Arabidopsis thaliana: one gene and its partner. The protein of the gene in region 2 interacts with the protein of the main gene of each other region in a pairwise test. Each region holds a gene or a part of one and is shown on either strand. Other genes may lie near its edges.

Region 1 (6,250 bases), on a different chromosome or scaffold from region 2:
TTTAATTTTTTTTCTTTCTCAATCGGACTTTAGTTGAGTATATTTCGACGTTACCAATGTTAGTGAATAAACGTTATCGATGTTAGCGAATAACAACATATACAAAACCTCAAATGAGAGGTTTATCGAACCAGATTAACTAAGCATATATTTCAATTTCAAAAATCTACCAAATAGCAAGTAGGCACGTAAAGACCATAAACTTTCGGTGAAGTTGATTTTTATCAATATCAAGACAATTTCTAATCGTGAAAAAGAATTAGAATATAATTAAAATTTATGTTTAATTTTGCAATTTTGATTTGTATTTTATTAGTTATTTTCTAAAGTTATATTTTTTTTAGGATTGTTGTCACTGAAAATTTTAATATGTTTAACCAGCCTAGGGTTATTTTTTCTCTGTTGGCATATGTAGTTTTACCATTTTTTATAAAATTTTATGATAACAAAAAGAAAAAAAAAAGAAGAAGAAGGTAACTTGACCATTTGCTGTATATTTAATTATCTTTTGTCCCCAAAAAAATTTATATAACCATTTGGTATATATAGCAAACTCATATTTAGCATGAAAAACCAATAATTGTATTCACTCTATTTTGAGTATATCAGAGATTATTGCCAAAGACTGATTCTCATAATTACAAAATCTCGTTTTTGGATATTTGACTTTGTCATATATAGACTATAGTTGATGTAAGCAATTGCGAATCAAAAATTTTAACCGGAAATGGAAACAAATTCAGAATAGAAGAAATTAATCAAGAACATATACAATATATTTAACTTATATTTCGTTCATAAAAATTCATTTATAGAAAAAAATCAAATTTTTTTATTTATAATTATTGTATCATAAAAGATAATATTTCTCTGTGAATTGAAAGATTAATATTCCATTAAAACAAAACTAATTAAAATCTTTATTTATTATTTTTTTAGCCTCTGGTAACTACAATTTGCTGGATCAGCCATCAACAAGGGGCCTATTACAATTTTGAATCATGTCATTTGGTTCAATGGGCTTTAGTGCACCCATCAGATTTGAAAACATGGGTTTTTGATTCAGCCCAAAGTTAACTTGTTAGCCCAATGTTAAAATTAGCCCCAGCTGATGAAATGACAAAACTACCCTTATCGCCTCCGTCATCTAAATCAGCCCTACCACTGGCGAGTTTCTGAAAATCGGCAAATCCCCGGCGACTTGGCAAACACTTTTCCGGCGTGGCTTCGCCTCCGCGAGCATTGTGATGACGTCTCTAATCGATGGTCTATCCTTCGGTAGCTTCGCGGTGCAGAGAAGAGCGATTCGCAGTGCCAGGAGCATCTCTTCGATCACGTGTTTACAATCTCCGGCGATGCTCGCGTCGATCACTTCTTCCAAGCTCTCGTTCTTCTTCACCTTCCTCCGAATCCACTCAACCACGTCAATCGAATCCTCAAACGAAGGATCTATCGGCATTTTCCCAGTCACCAATTCCAGAAGCACAACGCCTAGACTGTATATATCACTCTTTTCGTCAATCTTCAGTGTGTATCCGTACTCCGGCGCTATATACCCGTAAGATCCAGCCACCATAGAAACGGTCTCGTTCTTATGAAGCATCATCTTCGCCAATCCGAAATCTGCTATCCTCGCTTCAAGGTTTGAATCGAGGAGGATGTTATTAGACTTGATGTCTCTGTGAATGATCGGAGGATAGCAATCGTTGTGCAAGTAATTGAGACCTTGAACGACTCCGACGGCGACATTGTATCGTGAGAGCCAATCTCTTAGTAAGAATTTCTCATCTTTGGAATGCAAAGCAGTTCCTAGGTTTCCATTGGGCATGTACTCGTATACCATCATCACTTCTCTCTCGTTGTGAACGTAACCTAGAATCTTCACAATGTTTCTATGTCGTAGACCACCAAGTAGGTTCACTTCTCTGAGTATGTCGTCCTCTTCATCTTCTTCTTGATGATGATCTTCGATATCATTTTGTGGTGATGGTGATCTCCACAGTTTTTTCACAGCTACAGTGAGTAATGGCCGTCTCATGACTTCTGCTTTGTAAACAATCCCTATGGCTCCCATTCCAATGATGTTTGATTCTTTGATATGTGATAAGATGTCTCCTGCAGTGAAGCACAGTCTCTGGAAAGCCACGAGTCTCCATGGCCATTCCTCCCGAGGTTTCTTGCAGAATATATACTCTCTAGCAAAGTTGCTGTAAAGATCCCATCTTGTGTATATCCATCTCCCTGCCAAGAACATCATCCCCATAGCCACGATGACTGAAGTTCCAACAATGAACCCGAAGACTGCGTGATTCACGTGAATTCTCCCTGGATTTCGGCCTTTTGCTGACAAAGCTAGGCTCTTAGAGCAAGGTGGTAGAACTCCACCGCATAAGCCATTGTTTCCCACGAGGTCTTTTGGGTCTATGGCTGCAAACAGCATGTTTGAAGGAATGGGTCCGTCGAGTTTGTTGAATGACACGTTTAACATCTCCAGTGTTGGAGAAGCTCCCAAGTCCGCTGGTATATTCCCCGTCAAAGAGTTGTTTGAGAGATCAAGAACAGCTAACATGTGCATCCCGGCTAATGCCTTAGGGATTTCTCCAACCAATTGGTTGCTCTTGAGATTTAGACTCACAAGTTTTTCAAAAGAAGCGATCCTTTCTGGGATTCCACCTGAGAAATGGTTGAAGGAAAGATCGAGGACAGACAAAGATGGACGATCTTGAATCTGGTTAGGAATTTTTCCGGCAAAGTTGTTATGTGAGGCAATGAAGGTTTGAAGATTAGGACTTGAGAAAATGGAGGAAGATAGGGATGAGAGATGATTAAATGATATGTCTATAAATGAGAGTGATGTGGATAAGGCTATATCATCTGGAATTTTACCGGTGAGGTTGTTTTTTGCGAGCTCTAGATGCTGAAGCATTGGTAAGTCACCTGAACCAGCTGGTATAGATCCGGAAATGTGATTTTTCTGGATTCGAACACGAACTAAAGTCGGACATGAGAAGATTTCCTCCGGAATCTGACCTGAGAATGAGTTGTTGAAGAGAATGAGCTTTGTGAGGTTTCTGGAATAGCACAATCCTGATGGTATATCTCCTGAAAGCTTGTTTGATGAGACGTCTAACCACTTCAATGGGGAATTTTTGCCGAGATGCACCGGTAATGAACCCATGAGAGAGTTCTGCCACAGCTCAAGAACCTCAAGGTTTGGTAATTCAGCAATTTTTGACGGAATGATTCCCGTGAGTTGATTCCTCATCAAATTTAGAAGCTGCAGATTCTTCAACTCACCTACTTCCATAGGTATTTCTCCTGTGATCTGGTTATCAGACAGATCAAGAAACACAAGAGAAGTCATACCACCAAGTTCTCGAGGAAGTTTCCCTGTGAGACGGTTCTGGTAGAGATAAACTGTTGTAAGTTGTTTCAGCTGCCCCAAAGAAGATGGAATCTGGCCTGTAAGGTTTCCAACAGCCAAATCAAGGTACTGAAGGCGCGTCAATTTCCCAAACTCTTCTGGAATCTCACCCATGAAGCCATTGTAACCAAGAATAATGGTCTCCAAGGAAGAGAGCTCACCAATCACCTTCGGTACCTTTCCACCAAAGTTGTTACCCGAAAGACCGAGAAACTTCAGATTCTTGAGATTCTTGAAAGAAGAAGGCACTGAGCCCTCGAAGTAACCTCCTCGAAAGTCCAAAACCTCAAGTGTAGTTGCGTTGCCAAGATCTTCAGGTAGAAACCCCGAAAAATTGTTGCTTGAGGCATTGACGTGTGTAAGACCAGTTGCCATTCCTAGACCATAAGGGAAGGTTCCAAAGAAGCTGTTCACACTCACATCAATGACCTTCAAAGACGTGAGATTAGAAAGAGATTTAGGAAGAGAAGACTCAAATGCGTTATTGCTGAGATCAAGGGCTTGCAGAGAAGGGAAGCTCTGAATCTGATCTGACACGTTTCCGCTGAGATTCATGTTGGAGAGAAGAAGCTTAGCCACATAGCCATTTGCATCACAGTGAACTCCTGTCCAATGACAATGAACCAACTCAGAAAATGTTGTGGCATTCTCAGGTCTCTTCCAATCTTGGAGATTATTTGAAGGATCAAAAAGGTCTGACTTGAAGGCCAACAAGATCTCTTGTTCGGAGTTTTGAAATGTTTCAGAAGAAACAAAAGGGAAAAGAGCGAAACCAATGTAATAGAAGAGGAAGAAAAGTCGAGGGATCGCCATTTTTCTCCTCTATTTCTTCACTTTTTGGCTAGTTTTATGGCATTTTTGTGCAACTGAGATTGAAGGTCCCCAAGCGAAGTTGATAATAAGAGAGTGGAAACCAAAAGCTGAAAAACAATGATTAGTCAGAATCTAATTTTATTTAATCTCTCTCAATTATTTTATCATGATTGTGTTTCTTTTTCGTTCGGTGGAATAATATGCGAGTTCCATTGGCGTCATAACAATTTGTATGATAGCAAGTAGTTCGCTTTGTTTCTGCATCTGTGACATTACATAGTAGAAAAAGTGATACAATTTCCTTGATGTTTTCATCTATCTTCGTGTGTTAAATTGTGAATTGTGTTTGAGAAAACGAAATTAGATTATAAGTTTGTTTCATATGCATACCCAAATGCTAAATTGTGAATAAAGTCGAACCGAAAATTTTGAGGAGCACTAATTCCATAACCATATCCTGAAGGATTATCTTGCTGATCTGTGCAATATCAAACAACTAAGCGGTGAGAAAGAAGATTAAAATAATGATAATGGGATATATAATATGAAGAAATCGTGGGTTTCTGAACAGCTAGCTAAATCATAAAACACTGAGTGACTTGTAAAGCTTTGTCCTCATTAGAGATTTGTGGGACAGTGAAACATGGGCAGAGAATGTGTCTCACTTACTGTCCAATATAACTATTTTCTATTCAAAGATGATGGCTAATTAGGCAAGATCAAAGTCTTTTAAGAAAACTACCATTTTAGTTCTACCTCACCAATGATTTGACACAAACAATGTTTTTTTACAAATGATTTAACTTCACTTAAATATGAGTAACTAAAGAACGCAAAGTTTTTATTGGTTATAAGGTTAGTTATATCATCCTTGGCGGTCGAGCTAGGTTGAGTTTCCGCATGTCTTCATTAGTCGGGAGAATGTTTTGTTTCGAATGGCGTCATTAAAAAAACACACATGAAAGATGATGGTCGTGAGAGAATCTTCCCACGTTGTTCCAACATAATTAAAATTAGGAAATAAGAAAGTTCATAACTCCATTGCCAAGTTGCAAGTAGCTAGGAACGTCCCATGACACCTACGTAGAGACTAGAGAGATATACATACATCAAATATATCTACTTACACATGCATTGAAAAAAAAAAATACAAATACATTAATTAAATTATTGCATTCATGTAGACATATATGTTTTTCTAGATCTTATAAACACAGATTTTAATGTTTTTCAAAATACGATTATCAGAATTTTTTTTTCTCTGTATATTAGTTTGAGTTGAGAGATTTAAGGCCATACATATGATATATGCATAAAGTTTGCATATTAATGCATTTTTAGACAAGGAGCTTCAATAAACTATGCATATGACATCAAGACGTAACTGAATATGTAGCCCTAAGTCCGTAACCGAATTTGTTTATATTCGTGTGGTTGCAACTTGTGAGTAAATATGCATGCTGATTGCGTGAAGAACAAAGTAGCATTAAGTGCTCTCACGATATCAAAATAAAGTTTAGAACCATCGAAAAGGGCCATCTATCATTTTTATTTTGTTCTTAAAATCTAAAACATATATATTCGATCGGATATACCCATTAAATGAATGAATCATGTTCACATTAGAAGAATCACCATAATTGATCCCAAAAACTATATGAAACATATTCTCGTGAGTGTATAGACTTTTTGGAGATCGATATCTTAATTAATACATCTAGCACAACTCTATATATTCTTGCGGATTAACATCTAAATTTTACGTACCTCGAGCATATATATCCATTATCGACTATCGAGTATCGACTATCGGTTCGTCCAACACATTTAATTGTTGTAGGTTTGCAAGGTAGATATGGACAGTACCTCTAATTAAAGTTCTTTGTCCTTTCAAATTTATCCTCTATTATCATATTCATAAGAAGGAAAAAATAATTGCTCAAATCTAACTTTATAATATGCCCTTTCATATTTCACATGCACCCATATGGGACTTTTTATCATAATCAACAT
Region 2 (4,579 bases):
TACATAGGAAAACATGAACCCTCATGCTCTTACCTTTTTAGCAAGACAATTAGTACAAATATTACTACTTCATGGCCTAGTATATCCTAAATACGTTAAACGTATCCAATCCTATTGATCATCTAGCATTTTCAACATCTCAGAGCAGTCCAATTCAACACCATTGAAAAATCAGAGTTTTAAATTTAACATGTAGTGGGGATAAGCACTTGCGTTAACCTTTCAAACCCAAGAAGTGGCCCATAGCCTAACCTACATGTTCAATAAGGCCTAAACTTTGCCCATACTCATGTATGACATATGGTAATCTCTTTCTCACTTATAGTTGTAATGGTAATGCCAGGAACACTTGGGCCCAAAGTATAAGTTTTAAGTTTTTAAGTTTAACAAAAAAAAAAAAAAAAAAAATCCTGGAAAAACTTTTAGAAATTTCAACTATTTTTAGCCCACTATTTAATATTTTTCACATAGCCACATGAAACAATTTGGACCATTTAATTTTCTTTTGCATTTCCTACATCAATTGTACTTCTTGGTTTGTGGCTACTCGCTAGACACTATAAATATTATTGCAATAAAGTTTCTTGTGATAGTTTTGTCCAAAATATTTATTGCAACAAAACAAAACAAAATGATTTCAAAGTCATAATATCTGATAGCATTGGCTCTAAATATTTGTTGTTACTTGTTAGCATGACACATATATGTTGGTTTAAGCTAGAAAAATATTAATCTGTTTTTCTTTCTTTCTAAGAAAATACATACATGTTAACAACTACATGCATATCTGGTCCATGAAACTTAAAAAACGACCAAAATGCCCTTTGGTTGCAAGTAAAAAGACTTAGGACCTAGGACGAAGAGCGTCAAAAGTCAAGCCGTGAGATATCCTCGTCGCAGGAGCCCACGCATTGACCGGCAACGACCGGTGGTGCGCTGACGTAGCAGCCTGAGGTTGTGGTGGCGGGACCGACACGTGTTCACATGAAGGGCACATGGTCAAAGTAGTGGGTGGGCTCATGTGCATGTAGAACTGAGGAGAGAGCTTAAGTGCTCTCAATTCCGTTACTTCTTTTTGTAGCCGACGGTTCTCTTCCGTTAGATTCTCGCAGCATCTCCGTAAGAACTCGCAGTCTACCTCCGTTTGCTTCAGCTTTGTTCTGTTAAACATTTACCAAAATACCCTTATAAGAAAATAGATAAATCAGGCAAATAGAGAGATCTTTTGTTTGTGTGTGTTTTATTTACCTTGCTCGTCTGTTCTGAAACCAAACTTCCACTTGTCTTGCTCGTAACCCTAATTGTTTAGCCAATGCTTGCTTCTGCTTCTGTGAAAAAAAGTTGAAAAAAACCTTGATATCAGTCTACATTTACCAAAATGCCATTTATAAATTAATATCTGCATTTATGAGAGACCGAAACAAATAGTAGTAGTAATGTTTTTTCTTTGGTCAACATGTAACAATAGTCATTTTAATGTGAATATTTCATTAACGCGTTCTTTTTTCGTTTCCACAATTTATCATAGCCATTAATTTTCCCAGTAAAACCAAACTTTCTCGGGTGAAACAATAAGTAAAAGAAGAAAAAAATTACCGGATTGAGAGTACTGTGATCTTTGAAGGTCTCTTCAAGAATAGCAGATTGATCTTTGGAAAGTCTAAGCTTTTTCCTGGAGTTATCACCATCTTCATCGTCACTGATTCCTCTTGAGCCTTGTGGATCTGTGTCTTCTTCTCTCTCGCTTCTTTTCCCTGTAGAGCTTGAGACTGTACTGTTAGGTGAAGATACTCCAGCGTCTTCGTCGCCGTATTCCGCTGTAGACGGTGGTCTGTTCACGTCGATTCCTCGGATGAAAGTTCTTGTTTCTTTTTGTGACGAATCTGAGTTTGGAACTGCATGCATAAGATTGAAAAGTAGAGTAAAAGGTGAGACCTTTAAGGTTTTTTCCGGGGAAAAATAAAAAAAAACAGAGGAACGAAGAAAGCGATGAAGTACCTGAAGAAGTAAAACTCTCGTTCCATGAAGATCTTCTGAATAATCCAAAAGAAGAAGAAGAAGGAGTAACAGAAACAGATGGATTTGATTTGAGATTGATCTGTTTCTTTGGAAAATTCAAGCCTAAGCTTAGACCCAGATCGTCTTTCTCGAACATCATCTTCTGTTGAACTTTCTCAAGATAAGAAAAAAAAACTCTGTTTTTGCAAATAAAGTTGTCTGCTTTTCTTTTGAGAGATAGAAGATGAGAAAGTAAAGGAAGAAGAAAGGTTAATATATAGAGAGGCAGAGAGAGAGAGAGATTTTGCAATCATGAGTATGTGACTAGCTGGGGGCAAAATAGTTATTATTATTAAAGTCAAGAATAAACTATTGAAAACTTTAGTTCAATGGAAATAATTTTATAATCACAAACTTTGCTTCTTTGTCCCCCTCTATATAACTCTCTCAAACCTAAACAAATTATCAAATCTAAGAAATTGTGATAAAATAATAATTATAGTCGCATCATTAATGATTAATGTTGATACTATATTAATGTTTATGTGACATCAATTTTCTCAGTCAAAGATGATTATCAAACTATCACTAATAGATAATTTTTAGGATATTCATAAGGCGAGAACAAAATCTAATCGTAGTTATCTTATTTTGCCTTTTGTTTACTTTTTTTTTGTTTTAAACATTTGGACTTATCACTTTTCGTTTTATTTCAACCAAATTTTCTGTTGTAGGTGATTGGTTAGATCGTTGAGTCGTGAGAATATATGACCTAGTCAAACAGAAATTTAGAAATCCTCTTTGACAATTATTGGAATTAGATCTTTCATTTTTCGATATATATCACTATCTGCAACTAATAAAGCATATAAATTAGTAAGTTACCATGAACAATTGCACATCCAACAATAGTAAAATCAAATTTTTATCATTTCCATGGAATTTATCAAATTTTAACTATGATTGACTTTATTTTATGAGATTATTAAAAGTGGGAATGATAATTTGATTGCTATTGTCGAGAAAGAGTAAAAAAAATGATTACCCTTCTTGATGACTCTAAAGGCCAAAGAGTCACGCTTGTTGCACACTTTAAAAACCTTTTACTTTTAAACATTAGTGATAAAGTTAATTAAAGAAGAACTAAACAAAAACGGTTGAATTGAATTCAAACTTCTTTTTATGAAAAAATTAAAGAATTCAAACTTCTTTTCAGATTTTCTTCTTCTAACGCATGGGTCGACCGCATGAGTTTTACTTTTGTCGTTGAACCACTTAATGACCAAAAACAGTACATTGTACCAGAATATAAAATACTACTATTTAAACTTATTAATAACTTATAATGATGTTTTCTTTTTCTTTTTGTTAACTTAATAGTGATGATGTTAATGAGGATGTTGAGAGAGTATCATCATATACCATAAGTCCATAAACTTATTTGTCTGAATGATTTTTGAGTTTTATTTGGTTTTATAAAAACTGATGTTTTGTATTATGATAACTTTCATTTCTCACCTATAACAAGTGTAAAAAAAGAAAATTAATTATTATTATTAAACTAATAAAATTAATTAAAAATGTAGAATTATGTGCATGTATAATAAAATTATTAAATCATGCATTGAGATAAACATGGGTTTCATTCGACTTTTTAAAATGAATAACATCATACATTAAGCATGGTTAGATGTTTTTGTAATGCTAAATCGTTGAATAATTTGTAAATCAAATGGTTACTTGTCAAATCATATAATTATTTCATATAGACCCATTTTGGTCATAAAGGTCGATTAATGAGCATCAAAATCGATTCCTTTTATTAGTTGCAACAAGATTTTTCTTGCCTTCAAATCCTTAAAGGAGATTAATTCAGCATTGACAGTGAAGGTCCCAGTGACACGCCAAAAGAAGAAATGATTATAGAGATTGAAAAGAAATTGACGGTCACCGATTAAACGTTGAGAAAACCAAAGGCTGAAATGACATCATACGGTTGAGAAACGTTTTCAGTGTTGTGCCCCACTTAATCCAGCTATATGCTTTGACAACCATCGAATATGATGAATGAATTGGATCAATATGATTGGAATCAGACACACAAACTTTTCGTCAATCTGATTTTCATAATCACTGTGGGTCCTTTTTATAGTCGTTTTTTTGTATGTGCAATAGAAATGGTCACATTCAAGCAAAGATATTGAAAGAAGTTTTTTTACTACGAAAAATATTTTCGCTAAATAAGTACATCTTTTTCTTTTTTTGGCGATTCTTTTTCTGTTCAAAGAAAAAAAAGAAGGATCTGACTAGTTGCTATAATTAGCTCAAATTTAAAGGGATTTTTTTTTTTTTTAATGTCCAATTCATCTTACTTTCCAGTTTCTATCAATCAGAATAAAATAAAATAAAAATCAACCGAATTATGCTTTTAAAGGTTTAAAATCAGATTGAGTTTTTTTTCTTCTATTTCCCACCAATCAGATCTCAAATGAAACTTTCTTTAAACAGAAATAACTGGAAAATATATATTTGTTACCATGAAATGAAAGGAAAACTTAAAAATAGTTTTTACAATATTTAG

The links.
Region 1: the proteins of HB-2 (region 2) and AT1G08590 interact in a two-hybrid assay, tested with the Arabidopsis thaliana proteins (one study listed by BioGRID).

What each region holds. Positions count from the first base shown.
Region 1 is NC_003070.9:2,716,846-2,723,095, reverse strand, and holds AT1G08590 (Leucine-rich receptor-like protein kinase family protein), read right to left. Parts: upstream 4,559-6,250; 5' UTR 4,238-4,558; coding exon 1,148-4,237; 3' UTR 816-1,147; downstream 1-815.
Region 2 is NC_003075.7:9,446,870-9,451,448, reverse strand, and holds HB-2 (homeobox protein 2), read right to left. Parts: upstream 2,336-4,579; 5' UTR 2,159-2,335; coding exon 1,999-2,158; intron 1,896-1,998; coding exon 1,597-1,895; intron 1,329-1,596; coding exon 1,249-1,328; intron 1,161-1,248; coding exon 845-1,160; 3' UTR 544-844; downstream 1-543. UniProt on the Arabidopsis thaliana protein: Probable transcription factor involved in the negative regulation of cell elongation and specific cell proliferation processes such as lateral root formation and secondary growth of the vascular system.